3 linked regions of the Schizosaccharomyces pombe genome follow. The protein of the gene in region 3 interacts with the protein of the main gene of each other region in a pairwise test. Each region holds a gene or a part of one and is shown on either strand. Other genes may lie near its edges.

What was found.
Region 1: the proteins of abo2 (region 3) and sds22 interact in a two-hybrid assay, tested with the Schizosaccharomyces pombe proteins (one large-scale study listed by BioGRID).
Region 2: the proteins of abo2 (region 3) and spo7 interact in a two-hybrid assay, tested with the Schizosaccharomyces pombe proteins (one large-scale study listed by BioGRID).

Annotation. Positions count from the first base shown.
Region 1 is NC_003424.3:2,569,707-2,577,099, reverse strand, and holds sds22 (serine/threonine protein phosphatase PP1 regulatory subunit Sds22), read left to right. Parts: upstream 1-2,558; 5' UTR 2,559-2,626; coding exon 2,627-2,749; exon of another isoform or gene 2,750-2,804; coding exon 2,805-3,680; 3' UTR 3,681-3,940; downstream 3,941-7,393. Other genes in the region: SPOM_SPAC4A8.14 (ribose-phosphate pyrophosphokinase), read right to left, coding at 1-599; pts1 (20S proteasome complex subunit beta 5), read left to right, coding at 1,176-1,994; fatty acid synthase alpha subunit Fas2, read left to right, coding at 4,532-7,393. UniProt on the Schizosaccharomyces pombe protein: Essential for the mitotic metaphase/anaphase transition. Positively modulates protein phosphatase-1, possibly by forming a repeating helical rod that is capable of enhancing a PP1-dependent dephosphorylation activity.
Region 2 is NC_003424.3:3,243,829-3,251,221, reverse strand, and holds the start of spo7 (ArfGEF Spo7), read right to left. Parts: upstream 3,464-7,393; 5' UTR 2,625-3,463; coding exon 1-2,624. Other genes in the region: histone H3.3 H4 heterotetramer chaperone Rtt106, read left to right, coding at 3,515-3,596, 3,642-4,265, 4,310-4,734; RNA-binding protein Nop9, read left to right, coding at 5,997-7,393. UniProt on the Schizosaccharomyces pombe protein: Appears to have a role in sporulation.
Region 3 is NC_003423.3:1,438,813-1,446,205, reverse strand, and holds the start of abo2 (ATPase histone chaperone), read left to right. Parts: upstream 1-3,484; 5' UTR 3,485-3,633; coding exon 3,634-7,239; 3' UTR 7,240-7,371; coding exon of another isoform or gene 7,372-7,393. Other genes in the region: Prp19 complex WD repeat protein Prp5, read right to left, coding at 1-94; nrk1 (nicotinamide riboside kinase), read right to left, coding at 533-732, 819-1,185, 1,360-1,428, 1,531-1,555, 1,610-1,641; SPOM_SPBP22H7.04 (uncharacterized protein), read right to left, coding at 7,372-7,393. UniProt on the Schizosaccharomyces pombe protein: Probable ATPase which may play a role in nucleosome organization.

The sequences.
Region 1 (7,393 bases), on a different chromosome or scaffold from region 3:
GAACTTCGTTGTCTATCAGTGTTAATCAATGCAAAGTCCAAATTCAAAGTATCCGCCAAACTGGTAACTCTTTTGGCACCACCAGGATTCTTCGAAACTACTACCGCTTCTTCCCAATCATCGACGTTTCTACGAATCCATTCAGCTATGTTAGGCTCTGCATATAGATTGTCGACTGGGCGAGTGAAGAATCCCTGCATTTGAGAAGCATGCAAATCAAGAGTAATTATATGATCAACACCAGCAACGGTTAATAAATTGGCTACCATTCTAGCTGTAATGGCATCTCGATACTTCCGCATTTTAGATTGTTTGGAATAAGGAAAGTAAGGCATGACAGCTGTGATTCTTTTAGCAGATCCACCTTTACAAGCGCTTATAATAATAAGGAGCTCCATTAAGCTGTCATTTACAGTGGAACTTCCACTTTGCAAAATGAAAACGTCCTTATCTCGCACTGACTCACGAATTTCAACGCTTGTCTCGCCATTTGCAAACCTTTTTAGAGATACATCACAAGGTGTAATTCCAAGTCGGTTAGAAATGAGATGTAAAAGTTCAGGATGAGAACCGCCTCCAATGATTGTAGCACTCTTCATATTCCCTATAATATATTTCCTCAACTTACGGTTCCCGAATTTCAAAATCTACAAAATTACTCAAGTGAGCTTCAAAAAACTATATATGTGCTAGAACTACGAGAAGTAATTATATTATCGTTTTCCCGTTAAACAGATGCGTCTAGGTATAGGTAATTGAGTAAAAAGAAGAGTGTAACTTTCTGTTGTTTTTTATTTGCCAGTTTTAAGCATCGGTATACTTATTTAACGTAACTGTAAAATGGCACGCTAAAACGATAGTTTCTTTGTTTTCCCAACATGCTAGATAGGTCACATGGACTCATAAATTGGCATTCCTAAAATGTTAGATAAATATACAAAATCAGCTGAAATATTACTATTAAGTCTAGAAAACAAAAATAATTTAAATTTGACAAAAACTTATTTTTAAAAATGTTTGACATTTTTCGCTTCTTTTGCGTTTAGTCATAACAGTAGTCGCGGTAGTGTTCCAAATATTATAATAGCGATTTCTAAGAGAGTCGCTATATTGAGTGTTTGCCGTAAGCTGACTGAGCGACGAACGTGCTAAGAGCGTAATACTATTCTTTAATCATGAATTCTATCGTATCTAAGTATACACAAAGTACTAACAATGATGACCCAAAAAAAATAATAGAAGAAGAAGGATTTACAAATCGATTTGATGTCGTACCAGTGCCTCAATCTTCTCTTTATTTACGAAACTTAACAGATGAAACGAAAAACAAGCATTGTCTTATTAAAATGAATCATGGTACTACTACTTTAGCTTTTCGTTACCAACATGGTATCGTTGTTTGTGTAGATTCGAGAGCATCTGCCGGTCCTCTTATTGCTTCACAAACCGTTAAAAAAGTTATAGAGATAAACCCATATCTTTTAGGTACTCTTGCTGGTGGTGCAGCTGACTGTCAGTTTTGGGAGACAGTTCTAGGAATGGAATGTCGTTTACATCAACTTAGAAATAAGGAGTTAATCTCTGTTTCTGCTGCTAGCAAAATTCTTTCAAACATTACTTATTCATACAAGGGTTATGGACTTAGCATGGGTACTATGCTTGCTGGAACAGGAAAAGGTGGTACTGCACTTTACTACATCGACAGTGATGGCACCCGATTGAAAGGTGATTTGTTTTCCGTTGGTTCAGGTTCTACATTTGCGTACGGTGTTTTGGACTCTGGATATCGCTGGGACTTATCTAAACAAGAAGCTCTTTATTTAGCTCAGCGCTCTATTGTTGCTGCCACTCACAGAGATGCATACTCTGGTGGCTCAGTAAATCTTTATCACATTGATGAAAATGGTTGGGTCTTCCATGGAAACTTTGATGTTGATAGTCTTATATGGGAAGCAAAAGATAACGAAAACTCCTTTGCTCATATCCCTCGCTAAACTCATGCTTGCTAGTAGTCATGTGTCATCGGTGTATTAAATGAGACGTTGTTATTTGCTATTCCCTTCTAGGTCAACTGTCATTTATTCATTTATTTTATACCCTTATATTTGAATGTCGAAGTCAATTCCGTAAACTATACATCGTTTGTAACTTCTTTCAGAGAATGTACAATTTCACATTGCCATATATTTGATTGACTAGCTTAACATGACTTGAAATGAACCTTGTTTTCAAATCTGTTTTTATCAGTATTCGAGGAGGGGGTTATATTACCGTGTAAGTTATCGTTCATTAATAAATCTATACACACCATATGATAATTGTTCCATTAATGTGATGAGTACTAACGATTGTTAAACAATTAAGCTGCAATTGGGATTGTTTAGCATTTAGTCAACTTAATGATTTTCGCTGAATAAGATTATTTTATGTTGCGGTATGCTATGAGTTTCACTATAGTGAGTTTTTTAACGATTCGATAAAAACTATACAGATTTGTAAAAAGCTATAGCAAGAGTATCGTTGCTTCCTAAAGCGTCGTTATGTTGTCACGGTACTCTACTTGAAAGCATATAGTACTTTCGTTTGTAACACGTTTGCCCTTTTTATTATATCGCCTTTTTTTACAATGAGTAACGTTTCCAGTGAAGATGGAATTGCTCCTGAGACACAGCTTATCATTGATGACCCTGATGTCCAGCAAATCGATGCAGATGAAGATCTGCTTGATGATGTGCCGGACGACGTCGATGTAAATGATATCTTTAAATCATTAAATTGAAATATAGCTAACCAACTTAATATAGTGCGTAGAGCTTATTCAGTCTCGTATACAAAGCATGGCATCTCTTGGACTTGAAAGATTTAAAAATTTACAGAGTTTATGTCTTCGCCAAAATCAAATCAAGAAAATTGAATCAGTTCCAGAAACATTGACTGAATTGGATTTGTATGACAACTTAATTGTCAGAATTGAAAACTTGGATAATGTCAAAAATCTCACTTACTTGGATCTGTCTTTCAACAATATTAAAACGATTCGAAACATTAACCATTTAAAGGGCTTAGAAAACCTCTTCTTTGTCCAAAACAGAATTAGGAGAATTGAAAATTTAGAAGGTTTAGACAGGTTAACGAACCTTGAATTGGGGGGGAACAAAATAAGAGTAATTGAGAATTTGGATACTTTAGTTAATTTAGAAAAACTCTGGGTTGGCAAAAACAAAATAACCAAATTCGAGAATTTTGAAAAATTACAGAAACTTTCTCTTTTATCAATTCAATCAAATCGAATAACTCAATTTGAAAACTTGGCCTGCTTATCCCATTGTCTTCGAGAATTATATGTATCGCATAATGGTCTAACTAGTTTCTCTGGTATTGAGGTCCTCGAAAACCTTGAAATTTTGGATGTTTCCAACAACATGATTAAGCACCTTTCATACTTAGCGGGACTAAAAAATCTAGTAGAATTATGGGCTAGCAATAACGAACTGTCTTCTTTTCAAGAAATTGAAGACGAGCTTTCTGGTCTTAAAAAACTTGAAACCGTTTATTTTGAGGGAAATCCTTTGCAGAAAACCAATCCTGCTGTTTACCGTAACAAAGTTAGATTATGTCTTCCACAGTTACGCCAAATAGATGCAACTATTATCCCCAAAACTTCGAAGCAATTCCCCTAATCGTTATATGGATTGACTATAAAATCTCTTAATTTAAAACATTTCAATATGGTTTCCCTCCGTTAATGCTATACAACCAAAGTATTGAAAGAAAGTATACGACTAAAGATTTATTAGATACATCTTACAATTGAACAGTTCTCTACGATTGAGAGTACACTTTAGTAGTAAAATGCTTTTTTCGTTGTCATCTATCTATTAGATAGTATGTTAGTTGATCACGTTTACACTCATACTTGAAAAGTTATGTAATTTGCTGGAAAAGAATTGCGTATAAAATCGGTGGCAGGTAGATATAAGTTGGCAAATAGTTTTATATGGTTTTTCTTAGTTTTACGTATACTGGTAAATTCTATATTTATAGTTATCTCACATAGTCGAAATACGTGTTTAGTTTAAAAGCTCTCGCAGATCGCGATAAAAATAATACTCTTATTATTAAATAGACTATTGGTAAACAGTGTACTTTGTTTCGACTAATGATAAAACTGAGCACCTAACGCTCAATTCCAACAAGGTAAGATGCTTCTTGTTTATTGCTAAATTTACTAAATTGAAAAAGAGATGATCTTATATTTAACAAAATCTCTCTCTAAAATCTTTCTATAACTGATAATTACTCAAAAGTATTTTACAAGCTTACTATACTGTGTAGTAGAGAGTGATAAAATGTTAATTATGCCACAAGCAGTTGCTAATTCGCTATATTTGATAACGATGCGTTAAATATTCGTTACATGCTTCAAAGCTGATAGGTTTAACCTGAGTGTTCCCACGCGATAGTAAAGGATCAAGTTAACTAGAACCAACAACTAAAGCAGGTGTTGGAGTTTTGTTAAACCATTTGAATAATGAGACCAGAAGTTGAGCAGGAGCTTGCTCATACTTTATTATTGGAGTTGCTTGCATACCAGTTTGCATCTCCTGTCCGTTGGATTGAGACGCAAGATGTAATTCTTTCTCCTCCAGTATCGGCTGAACGTATCGTCGAAATTGGACCTAGTCCTACCTTAGCTGGTATGGCTAAGCGTACCTTGAAATTGAAATATGAGAACATGGATGCCGCTTTAAGTATTAATCGTGAAGTTCTTTGCTACTCTAAAGATGCTCGTGAAATCTATTACAACTTTGAGGACGAGGTTGCTGATGAACCTGCCGAAGCCCCAGCTTCAACCAGCTCCACTCCAAAGGTTGAAACTGCTGCTGCTGCCGCTCCCGCTGCCACGCCAGCCCCTGCCCCAGCACAAACATCAGCCCCAGCTGCTGCTTTACCTGACGAGCCTCCCAAAGCTCTTGAGGTACTTCATACTCTTGTTGCCCAAAAGTTGAAGAAAAGCATCGAGGAAGTCTCCCCTCAAAAATCTATCAAAGATTTGGTTGGCGGTAAGTCCACTTTGCAAAACGAAATTCTTGGTGATTTACAGAAGGAGTTCGGTGCCACTCCCGAGAAGCCAGAGGAGGTTCCATTGGATGAGCTTGGAGCTATCATGCAGTCAAGCTTTAACGGATCTCTTGGTAAACAATCGTCTTCTCTTATCTCACGAATGATTTCCTCAAAAATGCCTGGTGGTTTCAATAATTCTGCTGTTCGTGGTTATTTAGGAAACCGTTATGGTTTGGGTCCTGGTCGTTTGGAGTCTGTGCTTTTGTTAGCGCTTACCATGGAACCTGCATCACGTTTGGGCTCGGAAGCTGATGCTAAAGCTTGGCTTGATAGTGTAGCTCAAAAATATGCTGCTCGTAATGGTGTTACATTATCTTCTCCTACTGCTGAAGGCGGTTCTTCGTCCGGTTCTGCAGCTGTTATCGATGAAGAAACCTTTAAGAAACTCACCAAGAATAATACCATGCTTGTTACTCAGCAATTAGAACTATTTGCTCGATACCTCAATAAAGACCTTCGTGCTGGCCAAAAGGCTCAAGTTGCTGAAAAGGTTATTTCCGATACCTTACGCGCTCAATTAGATTTATGGAACGAAGAACATGGTGAATTTTATGCATCAGGAATTGCTCCTATTTTTTCGCCTTTAAAAGCTCGCGTTTACGACTCCGACTGGAATTGGGCTCGTCAAGATGCTCTTAAGATGTTTTTTGACATTATCTTTGGTCGTCTTAAGCATGTTGATACTGAAATAGTCGCTCGTTGTATTTCTGTTATGAATAGATCCAACCCTACTTTACTTGAATTTATGCAATATCATATTGATCATTGTCCCGCCGAAAAGGGTGAAACATATCAACTTGCTAAAACCTTGGGCCAACAGCTAATTGATAATTGCAAATCCGTGATAGATGCTCCTCCAGTTTTCAAAAATGTGAATCATCCAACTGCTCCTTCTACGACGATTGACGAACGTGGTAATTTGAATTATGAAGAAATCCCTAGACCAGGTGTTCGCAAATTAACTCATTACGTTACTGAGATGGCCAAAGGTGGTAAATTACCAACGGAGTCCAAAAACAAAGCTAAGGTACAAAACGATTTGGCTCGAATTTATCGCATTATTAAGTCTCAAAACAAAATGTCTCGTTCGTCTAAGTTGCAGATTAAACAGTTGTACGGTCAGGTTTTACATGCCCTTTCCCTTCCATTGCCTTCTTCCAACGATGAACAAACGCCTGTTAAAGAAACCATTCCTTTCCTTCATATTAGGAAGAAGTCCGTTGATGGTAATTGGGAATTCAACAAGTCATTGACTGGCACTTATTTAGATGTTTTAGAATCGGGTGCTAAGAATGGTATAACATACCAAGACAAATATGCTCTAGTGACTGGTGCAGGTGCAGGCTCCATTGGTGCTCAGATTGTTGAAGGTCTCCTTGCTGGTGGTGCTAAAGTTGTAGTTACTACATCCCGGTTTTCGCGCAAGGTTACTGAATTTTATCAATCCCTTTACACCCGCCATGGAAGCCGTGGTTCATGTCTGATCGTGGTTCCATTTAACCAAGGATCTAAGACAGACGTAGAAGCTCTTATTGATTATATTTATGACGAAAAGAAGGGTCTTGGATGGAACTTGGACTACATTGTTCCTTTCGCTGCCATTCCAGAAAATGGTCGTGAAATTGATGGCATTGATTCTCGTTCCGAGTTTGCTCACCGTATTATGTTGACAAACATTTTGAGACTGCTTGGCGCCGTCAAAAGTCAAAAGGCCTCTCGTGGTATGGATACCCGACCCGCTCAAGTTATTTTGCCTCTTTCTCCCAATCACGGTACCTTTGGAAACGATGGTTTATACTCGGAATCTAAGTTAGGTTTAGAAACTTTGTTTAACCGTTGGTACTCCGAGTCATGGGCTAATTACCTAACCATTTGTGGGGCTGTCATTGGTTGGACTCGTGGTACAGGCTTAATGGCACCTAATAATATTGTTTCTCAGGGAATCGAAAAATATGGTGTTCGTACTTTTTCGCAGAGTGAGATGGCTTTTAACATTTTGGGTTTGATGTCCCAGAAAGTCGTCGACTTGTGTCAATCTGAACCAATTTATGCCAACCTTAACGGTGGTCTTGAGCTTTTACCTGATCTCAAGGACCTTTCCACTCGTTTGCGTACCGAATTGTTAGAAACTGCCGAAATCCGCCGCGCTGTTGCCGCAGAGACTGCCTTTGATCATAGCATTACCAACGGACCTGACTCTGAAGCAGTTTTCCAGAAAACTGCCATTCAGCCTAGGGCCAATCTTAAATTTAATTTCCCCAAATTGAAA
Region 2 (7,393 bases), on a different chromosome or scaffold from region 3:
GGAGATATGAGAGGACGAAGTTTCTCGAGAGCATATTTCACAAAAGTTTCCATCGGAACGACATAAGAATTGAGCTTTTTAGAATAGGTTGATTTATGTAAATCAATTAAAATCAATACTATTTTAACAATAATGTCTTCATTTAAAAACCCATAATTACTATTTTGCTTAAGCCAACAAGATGCGAAGACTTGCAAAATAGGAGAGTGTATGTAATCATCCGAGCCATAGTAAAGATCACAGCATAATTTTTGAAAGGAAGCGTAAACATTTAAACTTGAAAAGTCATAGTGTGATATGAATTTTACATACACATTTTCATATTCAGATCCCAAACTAGCAAACCAATCTGTAAAATTGTACGACAATAGCTGCTTCTCTAGCAAATTCCGTAAGCAATTGGATAAATTAATGGGGTCCTTAAACTCTGAATTGTGACATACCTCGAACAATTTCAGTTGAGAACGGTCGTGTAAATTCAAAATAGTTAAAAGTGATCGTGGAACTTTAATTCTTGGATTGTTTTTAAATTCCAAAGAATTGGGAGTTGCTATTTCTTCGGAATTGAGATCACTCTTGCTATCACTTATAAGCAAAAACTCTTCTTTAAACTTTGAAGCGCTCAGACCTTCGTTAGCAAACGTTTCATCTTCATAATCTTGTAGGAACGTTTCCTGAATATCCATAGTTTTGACATCTGGATTCACAAAAACTTTTTCGCCAACCTGCTGACTATTTATGCGTGAATTGCGTAAATTGCGCATCTTGCGAATTTCTTCAGCTGCGTTTTCATGGTGAACTGACTGAGACTTAATCTGACTTTGCAATTGTTGAATATAGCTACGTTCATCATGACTAAGATGCTCTCGGTCATCCAATAGTAATTTTGAAATTGAAACTAGACCTTCGGGGGTTTTGGGTGAAGAAAACCGATTTTCACGCAACATTATTTCGTTTGTAATACCAACCTCCGAAAGCACTGAATAATACGCAACCAACGATTGTTTTAAGCAAGAAATCTGCTTTAGTGGTATTCTTTGGAATCTTGAATAAACTAACGCAAATTGGTGTTCCGCGATGTCTAAAGGGTATTTCCTGAGCAAAAGTTTTGCTAATTTGCAAAAATATAGGCGGTCAGAAAGATTTTCAAGTAAATACATTTTGGGATCAGCATTAGCAAGCTCATTTTTAGTGTTAAGTTTCGATACCTGTATACGACTATTGATTTTGTGTTCAGTAGCGTTCAAAGTTCTTGGATGAGGGTTCAACTCTAAATTTTTTTCCATTTTTATGCTCGGGTGTACATTACCATTTCCAGCTAGACACGCTCTCTCAATTTTTGAAATAACTTTCTCTGATGGATTAACTACCTTAGATATGCTGGAATGGGATGTCGGTTCAACATTGTTTATCGATTGTGGCATGTAAATATTTCCTAGTTGTTTGGCTAGTTGTTTAACATGACCCTTGGGAGGAGCCTCAGATGTCGGTGCCTTTGTTGTAGGAGCCTTTGTTGTAGGAGACTCTGCTGCAGCCAATGCTTGTGGTTGTACTGAATTAGAATCTTGGTTCATTAGTAGCGCAGTCTTTTCCCTTATCACTTGCAAAAACTTCTGAGAAGTTGTCAGAACTGAATCACCGACTGACACTTTTGGTGGTACTTCCATTGAACCATTTTTAGCAGCAAATAGGTTTATAGCTTCCTTTATTCTGTTACATTTTCTGGTGGAAGCCCGATAATTAGGACCTAAATTAAAGGGATTCTCTTCTAAAGCATTTGTAGTATGCCCTTTAGATAAATTTGAAACATAGTCCCTTTTTCTATTTCTCTCCCTAGCTAGCTCGATCCTTGCTCTAACATTTTCCCCGGAATACTTCCCCTGAATCCTCCTCTTAGCAGATAAACTAATTTTTTTTGAAGGAAATATTTCCTGAGGAAAATTGGTAACGACTATCGGAGGCGGCGTTCTTTGGCGCTTTTTAGAAGATGGAAGTTCTTCTTCATAATCTTTCAAATCACGTTTTAATGAGTAAGAACCAGAGGAAGCTCGTACGCCGTTGCCGAACATGGATTGAGAAGGATGAGAGTTTACGGGTTCACTAAATATTCGTTTAGGCTGAAGGCTTAAATCAGAAAGTTCACCATTTGTTCGAGGACGCCGGGTTTTAATAAACGATTCTTTGTTGCTTAACTTGCTTTTAACGTTAAACATATGATTGTTTTCAGCCAAGATTTTCTCAGACTCCACAGAATTGGCATTGGAATTGAGAAAAGAGCGACGATGACTTATAAATTCCTGAATCTGCTTCAAGCGTGTCCTTCTCTGAGAAGATTTGTCTTCTCCAGAAATATTTTCCGTTTTGCTTTTAGCGCCTTCCGTATGCAAATTTTCTTGACAAATTATTCCCTTTGATTCCTCAAGTTTGCAAAAATCGGTTGTAACTTTAGACCGCTTCAACTTCGAAAGCAACGCTGAATGCTTTTGGCCGGAAGTATAGGTAGGCTTTGATTCTCTCACAGGACGACAAGTGATGCGACTATCATTGCACGATTCCAACTTTGCAATTTTTTCCGAAACACTTAAGCTTGTTGGGGAAGATCCTTCTGTTATTCTAAAATCCATTCTACCTTTTTCGTGGATAATTATACAATTGATTAAAAGAAATTAATAGTTATGTCGGAAGAACGCTTAAAAAATACAATATGAATATAGGAATTCTTTCAATCGGTTGATCGCGAAAGCAATTAGGATAATTATGTAAGTTTTGTAAGGACAATTATCAAAATTGTTTCCTTAAATATTTATACAAACCGTCAGTTTTGAGGGAGGTTGAGGGTAAAGGAAAAATAGGCAAAACAAATAGCTTATGTCTTAAAACACCTCATTGCATTAGACCTAGCGAACAAACTATTTGTTTACGTTTGTAAATGTCAACACACGTTGATTACATCGGGAACAACATAAACCAATAAAACGAATTTTAGGATCATTTAATAATTTCTTTGACAAAATCGAAACAATAACAACTTTAAGGGAAACCATATCCGATTATAGGAGCAACAATCTGACCTTCCCAATGCTGAAGAAAGCTAATCAGTTCTACAGCTGAAATTTATCTATAGATCGCAAAAAGAATCAAAGGGAAAATCGATATCGTTTCACAAAATGTTCCCAACTTTTTTGGACTTTTCATACGAAAGTAACTGATACGATAATAGAATGAGTTTTTATCTCATTTATGTAAAATGACTACCTTTGTTGAGTAAAATTGAGCAATTATAAATTAAGCATATTCATATTGATCCATAAAATAAAAATTTGTTGCTAACATAAAGTCAACAGCGAACCGAAGTTTGAACGTAACCACTTGGGATAAAATTTTTATTGGATCGAAATCATTTGCATGATAATGGAAATAGTTGCTATTACATTTGTTACTGTTAGCTGAGGTGTGGTGTGCTGTCGAAGCCCTTGTTTAAGACTCAATAAATTCTAGCCGGCAGCCATCTCTAATGGAGTCCAACGTGAACGATGAAATAGAAAAGGCATTTGCCAAAGATTCTGAGTTAGCAAAAGATATAATCAAACAATATGGTAAGGTTTGAGTACATGCTTTTTTCCTTAGTCTAATGAAATTAGGGAAAACAAAAAGTATACAGCCTCTAGTGCATCGAATTTGCAAGTACATCAATACATTGCAAAAGGAAAACGAATCAGGCCAAGTGAAGGAGGCTGGAAGTTTAAAACGAAAGGATCGTGTTCAACATGAGTTAGGTCAATTGGTCTATGGAGTACTTAATCTATCGTTTCAGGCACCTATGCGAAAAAAGCTAGACGTCTACATTTATGAAAATGGAATAGCAGTAACATTACCAGGCGAACCCAATTTAATTGAATTTTGGCTTCCCTGGAATGAAATTCGTTGTGCAATCCATGTCCCATGTCCAAGGAAAGCTAATGTTCAAAACAACTTTGTGATCATCCTTAAAAGTGAATCGTCGGCAGAAAATATTGTTTCAAGTGATAATGTAAAAGAACCTGTCTTTTTTACGGCACCGTATCCTTTGAAAAAGCTCAACCTCGTTGAAGGTTTACGATCCTTCACCCACTGCACGAACTCATGGGATATTTTTCGCGATTACTTTGAGTTTATTGGCACTAGTACTTTGTCTCCTTCTGTCGAAGAATTTGTTTGTCCAAACCCGCAAACGGGGGACAATGGCACGACATATGGGGTTGAAGCAAACTATAAAGCTAAAGATGGTATGCAAAGGATGAATTCTGTGTCAAAATTGCTAATCAAATAGGGCATTTATTTTTTCTGCGTACTGGCATACTATGGGGCTTCCGTAAACCTATACTTTTCATTGAACTAGCTAGCATCCAGCATTTTTCCTATAGTAATGTTTTGCAACGAACATTTACAGTTAATTTTGAAGCTGGTGGTACAATATATTCATTCGATATGGTTGATCAAAGTGTCTTTAGAGCAGTAAATGATTACGCGACAAAGCATGGACTAATGGACTCCAGTCTTGCTGAAGAAAAAGCTGCACCAGTCCCTAAAAATCCATCTGTTTCATATTTGAATGAGGCATCATCTCTTGAAAATGTTGATGATATGGATGATATTGATGTTAAAGAACCTTTATTCTCTGATAACGACGAGGATGTCGAAAACAGCGACAGCGAGGACGGTAGCGAATCTATCGGTTCAGAGGACGAAGAATAGAAAGTTGAATGTACATAAATTTTTTTCTGTTTTATTTATTACCAGTTTGTTTTAATTTAAGGATTTAAATAAATTTAAAGTCTTCTAGCAAAAGGTTATCTGTGAGCTATCCAAATTTGTTTTAGACTCAAGTTATACACAAAGTTGTCGCAGGATACATTTTTTGTTGATAGTTTAAAAAGTGTGGATCTGGACTTTGTGTGCTAATCAATAGATTTACGCTCCCACTTGTTTGAGTTTTCTCAAAAATTACCCGACCAACATGTAAATATTTTCTATAATACTAATTTATGAAAATTCCTAATTACCTTATTCGATCTGCCGCTCTTAAAAAAGGTATATAATGTAAATAGCGGTTATTTAAAGTTCCTGATGTTCATTTTAACAGAAGGGTAGCTGAGTTTAAGCAAGAATTACCTGAACTGCCCATAATTTAATTCACAATTAGCATAAATCTTTAAAAACTCTTTCACGAGATTTTTTAATTATTTTTTTCAAAAAAAAAGACGACTATAAGTAACTAATTGTTTAATTTTTTACATTAGTTTTTTTCTTTGTCAATAAATTACTAAAATCTTTTTCTGAATGTAAGAAATTAAATAATTTAACAATATATCAACTCATCGACTGTTATTGAAGGATCTTCTTCTTAAAAAGAAAGAAAATTAATTTAAGACAATAGAAATGTTTTTGATTGATATTAATGATTAGCTCTTCTAAAATGCTGTTGCAATTTATCTAATCATTATTTATTTACATTTTAGTTAAAAAGCTATGTTCATAACGTACGGTAAAAAAAATAGGTGACACTTACGCAGTTCAGTGTCTTTTTTAACGATACGTAAAACCCGGTGATAATTCTTGTGACCTATTATATTATAATAAGTAGGTTAATAAGCGCTGACCAATGTAGGTATTATATATATGGGTCAAACTGTTACCTGTCACTAAATAGTGCTTATTACTGTACCTCGTTTCTCAGTTAAGTTGTAACTCTATTTATAATCTTACTGATAATTTTTCTAGAAAAATATCCTAGTAAATAAGAGGATAATGTCCGCAATGATCAATACGCGGATCTAACTGGTATTCTAATATATGACATATAGTGATGAATACCCTAATGTAATATAGCGTAGTGTAGTATTGCTTGCACAATAAAACTTTATACCCCCATGCGTTATTAAAATTAAAGAGGCATAACAGAAATTATTTCCAACAAATTTTCGAATCCTATAATGCTAATTCAATCCTAGAGCAAAATGCCAAAAAAAAGAAAAACGCGTGGTAAAAAGCACTCTGCCAAACAAAAGGAGGAAGAAGTTAATTCAGTTGTTTCTCCCGGTATTGCAAAAAACGATGAAGGCGCTGGAAATGATGAAGGTGCATATCAGGTAAACCGTTACACGAATGAACCAGTGCAACCGTTTTTTGGTGCTTTGGACCCCGAAGAAGAAAAATACTTCCAACAAGCTGAACAGGCTTTTGCCAATCATTTTACAAGAGAAAACGAAGATACCAGGTTTTTTGTCGACAGCATTTATCGTGAGGTGCAAGGCAAAGAGCTAATTGTCTGCAACAATGTGTTCGGATCGAAGGTTCTTGAAAAGCTTTTCCCTTTATCAACGAGTAGACAAATCAAATCGTTTTTTTCTGCATTGAATGGTCATTATGTGGAGCTAATTCAGACAACGTTTGGCTCTTATGCTTTCGAAAAGCTGTTGAGTCACATGGCTGCCATTCTAAATTTGGAAACCCAAGGTGTTACAGAGGATCAAGATGATGTTTTGGAAGGTGAAAATGAAAATGTCTTCATGACAGCAGAAACTTTACTTATGTACATGTACAATGAAATACGCCCAGAGGTTTCTATGCTAATGAGCCATAAGTTGGCTGTTCATGTATTGGGCAAAATTTTCCTTTTGCTTGATGGATATCGATTCGTGTATCATGATGGAAACAGAACCACTATGGAGTCTATTTCTGTTCCCGAATCCTTTCCCCAGTTTGCTTATTCCATAATTGATAGTGCTACGGACAACCTCGATACCCCAGAACTTCGAGCTTATTGTGTTGATAAATATGCGAGTCAAATTATGAGAGCGTTTATACGTATAGACTTTGAGCGCTCAAAAAAAACAAAAAAGAAGCACGATCCACGCTTAGTTTCCAAATTGTTACTATCTAACGAGTACGATTTAAAAGAATTACCGTTTATGGAAACTTTGTTGAAGGACGAAACTGGCTCGCGTATTCTGGAGGTCATCGTTGAAAACATGTCAGCCTCTCATCTACTCAGATTTTATGCCGTCTTTGAAGGACGTTTTTATCGGCTTTGTGTTCATCCTATAGCCAATTTTATAATGCAACGTTACATAAGAAGGTTGGGAAGGAAGGAGATTGGTTCTGTCATTGATGAATTAAAGAAGAATACAGACAACATCATTAGGAAGTCATTTCTTCCAGTGTTAAGGACATTACTTGAGAAGAGTAACCATTTACATTGTTATCAAGATGACATATTTTCAATGATTCAGACAAGCGTAACAAATAGTGGAAAGGATGCCAACATTATTCCATGCTTGCTCCGATCGAAGCATAAACGTGATAAAGCCAACCCAGAAAACAAAGAGCGTAAACTTGTTAATAATTTACTGGG
Region 3 (7,393 bases):
ACTCGGCTCCAAAAAGAGTTTTTGATGTTCTAAGACTATTTGTAGTCAAAGAAAGTACATCTGTATCATCCGATATGTTTTTTGCTTCTGTCATAAATCTGTTAAATTTTTGGTAGAGGATTTGTAGGTAGATGGCAGTTGGACTGACTTATTTGAAGCATCATAATCCACGAACATTAGCGAACGAGAAATATTAAGTACTAATATTTGAGAATAAAGTAGCTTACAAATGAATTGTCAAAATAAAAAAAGGGATGGTTATCAAGTAATAAAAGTTTGTAATATATATACATTTATTAAACGGTCTAGTTACGGATTATTAATAACATGATGTTCTAAAAGCGATAGTAGCAATAAATATATGGAGAGGAGGAAATGATGGAAAGTAATTAATTAACCCTGAATTTAAAAAGTAAATCATGCACAGGTAGTCTTGTCTAAAAAGAAAAAAAAGAAGCGGTAGAGAGGATTTGTGTATAAGTCAGGTAGTACTCAGAAAATACAAGTCGAAGAAAAGATAGATCAAAACGGATCATTGTAAAGCATTCAAAATTGAATTAATGGCCCATTGGACGTTATCTCTCACAGACATTTTACTAGAAGGGCTTAACTGTATACGCTTATCAAGCAATTTCCCTGTCACATCGCCATTGACAAACAAATGGGAATGACCATGTACATAGCCAGGCCAAACATAATTTTCGAAATAATGTGGGGGGTCTTGCCAAAATCCTGGAACAATTTGGAGTTAGCCTTAACTGAAAGGTACAACGATTAAACACAGGTGTTATGTTTTATCTGGATAGTTGAATTCTTACCTTCCAACGTTATATAACCAGTACGGGCTTCTCTACGACGCTTAAGCGTATCAAAATCGGTCACCAGCATCAGTCGAATATCAAATGCGTTTATAAGGTCTTCATTAACGTACATCATAAATCCGTCTACGAAAACGAGATGCTGTTCCAAAGTTGGAATGGCCGGTGCCTTGAATTCTTTAATTATATCAGCGTATTCTATTAGGGCTTCAGGAGCAACATTTTTATTTTCCCTATTTCGAAGGTGAGTAGGTAACACGCCATGATCACGGATATAATGCAAATTTTCAAGGAAAGCGTCTAAATTCAACGACTCTTGGCAATCCCAATCGGCAATGCCGTTTTTGACTGGTATCTCAGCATCAGTCTACAAAACAAACGAGTTAGTATATCAATAGGTGCTTTGGCACTACATAAAAACACAGTGTTTGCTTCATCGATAAGATTCAACCATCGGTTTTTAAAACGAGGGTACGATTTATTCTATGACACTTGCAAAATTCGCACGACTAGGCAAATAGACGAAATAATCTAAACGAACCTTGTAAAAATCATCTTCATGAACGAGAGAAGATCCTTCAAAAATGGCATGTAAAAGCTGGCATAGAGTCTGTCAAAACAAGAAAGAGAAATTGGTTAGTACTTCATTTTTTTTTTATTTTGGAGTTTTTGATTTTATTTTATTCTTTCTTATTAATCAAAATTATCATACCGATTTTCCACTACAAGAGGCACCACTAATTTTTTCTTGTTAATAAAAATTCATTAAAACAATTGCCTGTAGAACTTACCTAACCCCAACAATGATAGTTTTCCGAGTCATTCTAATGATAATATGGAAAAATGAAGGTAAAAATTGAGACAAGAAGCCTGGACAGAAGCTGGATACTGGAATTCGGTCTGTTATATTTGCACAACACAATTAATTAATTACCAGCCAAAAGCTGTAAGACAGGTTAACCGAATTTTAAAAAGAATTTGGATTTAAACAAAGCGCCTAGTATCTTAAATCAAGCTCGATGATTATTTGTTATGGAAATAAACGAGAATTTTAAAAAGATATGTGGTAAAGAAGCCGAATCCACAAAATTTTATAACAACCAACAAAACTTTTAGATATACAAGAACAAGTAAAAGATCACTTATAACGATTTCGCAAGTATAAGAAAATGGAAAAAGAAAGGAGTATACAAATTCTTTACGGTATAAATGGAGGATTTGAAAGATAATTTAAATTCACCAAATATTAACGCTTTCGAATACGTATAAGAATTTTTATATGGCAAATATGCCCGGTAAAGATTAATGGTGTTTTGAGTTATTGATCGTTTAAAACAAGAGTGAAATAGGAGGAAGGCTGGAGTTGGTAGTATGAAGATATGGTTAGTAGTATAATCAGTCAATAATACAAGGCTTTGGATGATAGCAATATACTAATCCGCTCCCGTCATGTATCCTTTACGAAAAGATAGGGTAGATAATAAGAGTAAAAAATACAATTTTTGTTTAAAATATATATATTTTTTGATTAGATAAAAAAAAGTGGTTCACTTTTTTTATTTATTTAGCCAAAGTATGTAGGAAATTGGAATTCTTTAATTGTTTTGCGAAAATTATTTTATTAATTATTGCTTTTTCCTTTCAAATTTGTGATAAACTATGTCTGAATAATATTAGTTTGCTATTTTCATTTTTTAAGTCGTTTTAATGTCTTTTGCTTATTGTTTACATTACACTTACTTAGTTCTACGGTAGCAAAGTTTTTATCAACTCCATGAAATGCGAATATTTCGATGAATTTAAAAAATATATGTATATTGGTTGAGTTTCTTGAGGCCTTGTTAAACGATTTTTGTAGTACTACACTTAGTAAATATAAAATTTTTTAACACTAGGTGTTTGGCTTCAGTTTTCCAATTTGACTAGCTTCAATTGCTTTTCCAAAAAAAAAATAAAAAAATAAATAAAATATAATAAAGCTATAAATTGCATGTAAATTGGATGAAACAATAGAATTAGTAATAATAATAAATACTGAATTCAAACATTAAGGAAATTTAAGGACACTATTTTAAAAATGAAATCAATATTGATCGAATTTCAATGGATCTGTATTGAATGCCAATGTAATTAGGAAATTAAAAGACCTTTTGGTTTAATAAAAAAATAAAAAAAGCCGTACCGATCTCTACCTTTGTTCATTATATCAATCTAATATGAGACGTAAAACTACGGATTATGAATAGTAAGTTTTCAAAGAGATTATAAAATAATACTCTTTGCATAAATTCTTCTCATCCTTTCAATTAACAGCGAAACGACGAAACACTGACAATCAATTAAATAAAAAAAAATACTATATCAGTGAGGAACGTCAAGTGAAGCTCAAGATTCGAAGTTGGCAATGAACTTTTATCCTCATAGAATTTCAAATCTATCCACATGTCTGTAAACAATGCATCAATGTATGGATATTACCAATGTACTAAACTGATCGTGGACAAATAATCTCAGAAAAGTCAATTTTTAAACAATATTGTTTTTGTAAAGATACTACTTCTGTTGTTTAGTCCAAAAATCCACTTACTCTACTATGTGCTTTCCTTTTCTTATAACGCATTGTTACGAACTTCATTTATTTACTTTTCCTTACAAACCTTCCATTCGTAAACCAGCATGTGGAAAACCTAAGATATCCCAAATTTTTTGGAGCCTTTAATTGTGCAATTGTAAATAAAAAATCTACATAACAAATTGTCTTAACCAAGTTGACAACGTCTTAATTTGTTGGTGCCAGCAGTGCATTTTGCGTGCAATGCGCAGAAGGGCCAGATCCATTCGTTTTAGTTCTGACGATAATGAAGATAATGAAGAAGATGATGATTATTACTCCAACGCACACAGCGAAAAATCAGAGGATCATTCAAATCATATAAAAGTTTCACATTTTGATCCTTCCTCCTATAAACAAAAGTTAGTTTCAGTGCGTGAAACTCAAAGAAATAGAAAATTCTCTTCGTTACAGAAACATCTAAACACAGAAACGCCTTCTTTTTCTGTTTCTATAGAAAATCCTTCAAAGCCTTCTGCGGCATTCAATGATGCATCATTGGGAAAGAAGAGTACTGAACATCAAATTGATGGTATCAGAAATGGAAGTAGTAACCTTCAAATGGAAGGAAATGATAAAGAGCTAGACACTGATAATAATGAGGACGAATCCACTACCTTTAAGGATGAAGAAGACGATTTGATAAGTCCGAAATCATATCTTACTTCTTCAAAAACCTTTTCGTATCCAAAAGCTCCAACAGAATCAACAAATGGTGATTATTTAGATGAAGACTACGTAGATGGACAAAGTGATCCTGAGTCTTCGAACGCCAGTGATTCTGACTTCGCGGATAGCCCTGATGATTTGACAAAAGTGCGCTCACCCATTCCAAGTAGAAGAGGACGTAGAAAAAGAAAAATGAGAGGTCCAATTTTGCCAGTTAAAAAAAATTTAAGGGTCAAGAAGGCAATGAGTCCTCTTCGCGCTGAGCGAAATTCACCAGATTTCCGACGCAAACTTCGTAGTCGTGACAATCGACCGAATTATCATTTATTTGACTATTACAACGAAATTGCATCTTCCCCAAATCCTTCAACAACGAAGATTACTTATAATCCGCCAAAATTGCCTATGAAAGATTTTGCTACTCTTCCCATCGGTTATCAAAGTACTTGCGATAGTGATGAAACGAGTGAGTTGAGCAGTACAAGTTCAGAGCAAACTTCCGACGTTGAAGGACTTAATGCTTACAATAATTTGGGCGCTAGTTCAGATATTGAGAATGCTCCCTCCTCTCAACTTCACTTTGGTCACATAGACGAAAAGACGATTAGAAGTACTGACCCTTTTGCCAATAGGGAAAATCTTGATTTCAATTCCATAGGAGGACTGGAAGATATTATACTTCAACTGAAAGAAATGGTGATGCTTCCTTTGTTATATCCAGAAGTATTCTTACATCTGCACATCACACCTCCTAGAGGTGTCTTGTTTCATGGTCCTCCAGGGACTGGAAAAACACTAATGGCTAGGGTGTTGGCCGCTAACTGCTCGACCAAAAATCAAAAAATTAGTTTCTTCTTGAGAAAAGGGTCTGATTGTTTAAGCAAATGGGTTGGCGAAGCAGAAAGGCAACTTAGGCTTTTATTCGAAGAAGCTAGAAGAGTACAACCCAGCATCATATTCTTTGATGAAATAGATGGGCTTGCTCCTATTCGATCTTCAAAACAAGAGCAAACTCACAGTTCCATTGTCTCCACCTTGCTTGCTTTAATGGATGGCCTCGATACGCGTGGACAAGTAGTAGTAATTGGTGCTACTAATCGTCCCAACGATCTTGACCCGGCCTTAAGGAGACCCGGTAGATTTGATCGCGAATTCTACTTCCCTCTACCAAATAAGCAAGCACGTATGAAAATTCTTGAAATCAATTCTTTACATTTTTCTCCAAAAATACCAGAGAGCTACTTATTACACTTAGCGGAATCTACGTCTGGTTATGGTGGAGCAGATTTAAAAGCTTTATGCACCGAAGCAGCCCTTAATGCAGTTCGACGCACCTTCCCCCAAATTTACACATCTTCTGACAAATTTTTAATTGACCTGAATGAAATATCCGTTAGCATTTGCGATTTTGTAGTCGCATCTGAGAAGATTGCTGTTTCTACACGAAGAAGTGATGTTAAGCCGAATATACCTATTACGGATTCCCACAAAATTCTGTTTAAGAAAAGTATTGAGGTTATAACGTCAAAAATTAGACGACTATTAAAACTTGACGTATATTTACCAACGGTCGAGTCTTTACAAAAACTTCCTGCTGAAGAGTTGATGAGGCAAAAAGAAATTAACTCTCTAAAAACTACCATGTCATTCCGCCCAAGACTATTGATTACTGATATTTATGGATATGGATGTACTTATTTAAGCAAAGTGCTTTTCTCTATGTTAGATGGTATCCACGTGCAGTCTTTGGATATTTCTGAGTTGTTAATGGACACAACCACATCTCCGAGGTCTTTGTTAACCAAGATATTCTCTGAAGCCCGAAAAAATGCGCCAAGTATTATATTTATCAATAACGTAGAAAAATGGCCATCTCTATTTTCACATAGCTTTTTGTCAATGTTCCTTCTTTTATTAGATTCAATTTCCCCTTTAGAACCTGTCATGTTACTGGGGTTTGCTAATACTAATCAAGAAAAATTGTCGTCTACCGTCCGCTCCTGGTTTCCTTCTCATCGAAGCGAATATCATGACTTGTCGTTTCCTGATTATTCATCAAGATACTCTTTTTTCCATTACTTGCTTAAACGTATTTCATTCCTTCCCATTCACCAAAAGAGCGCCGAAGCAGCAAGCGTTGATATTTTACCCAAAGTACTACCAGTTTCTAAAACATCAGATTTAACCGACAAAGTAAACCGAAGACAAAGAAAGAACGACAAGAAAATAAAAAACAAAATTCAGGTTAAACTTAGCTCAATACTTGAAATGCTTCGCTCTCGTTATAAAAAGTTCAAAAAACCGATAATAGATTTAAATGACATTTACATTGATGAGTCGAACGAAAGGGTGGTAAAAGGAAAATCGAAGGATAATTTTGAGTATTTCCTTTCAGGAAATACAGTCACTCGTAAAAAAGACAATGCTTGTTTCAAAATGATGAACTTTGAGGAAATTGAAAGACGCTTATGGAGTGGACGTTACTGTACTCCTAAAGAGTTTTTGCGTGATATCAAAATGATCAAACAAGATGCGATCCTGTCTGGCGACGTGAACCTCAAACACAAAGCCAAAGAAATGTTTGCGCATGCCGAATTAAATGTTGATGAGTTGATTGATGCAAAGCTGTTGTATGATTGTTGTCAAGTCTCCAAGAGGGAAAAGGCATATAAACAACTAAAACAAAAAAAACTGAACAATGCAAAGGATGCTCATGAGATGCAAGAATCAAAGAATGAAGAAACATTTGTGAGAAACGATGTTGCACAAGAAGACAATTTCATTGAGCTTTCGTCAAATGAGGTTCGCAACGTTTCTAATGATGAACATAAACATACTTTATTTCATGGACAATCACTTACTCATAACAATTTGATTGCTGTCACTCCACCTAGCAGGACTGGTGTTGAACACAAAGAAGAGAACAAAAAATACGATAACGTAAATATTCAAAAAACCTTGGCAAAATGTGCAGAGGAATTTGCTGAACATACCAATTTTAATAAGGTGGAACTACTAGATTTTGTTTATTCCAAATTGTCATCCACTATTTGGGAAAATCGTGAGGAGCATGATCTTCTTAAGATAGTTCGGGATGTAAGACAAACTTTCTTTCGGTCGCTTGAGGATATGGGTGTTTAATGAAATTTTGGGTTAATGTGTCTAAGCGATCTGTTAGTGAGATACAACAAATCTAAATGATAGTTGGTAATGAATGAAAGCTCACAATAAAAGATAGGAACCACGAAAGAAGATACATTTGAAATTGAAAAGCTAATATCGGTTTCCGATGACA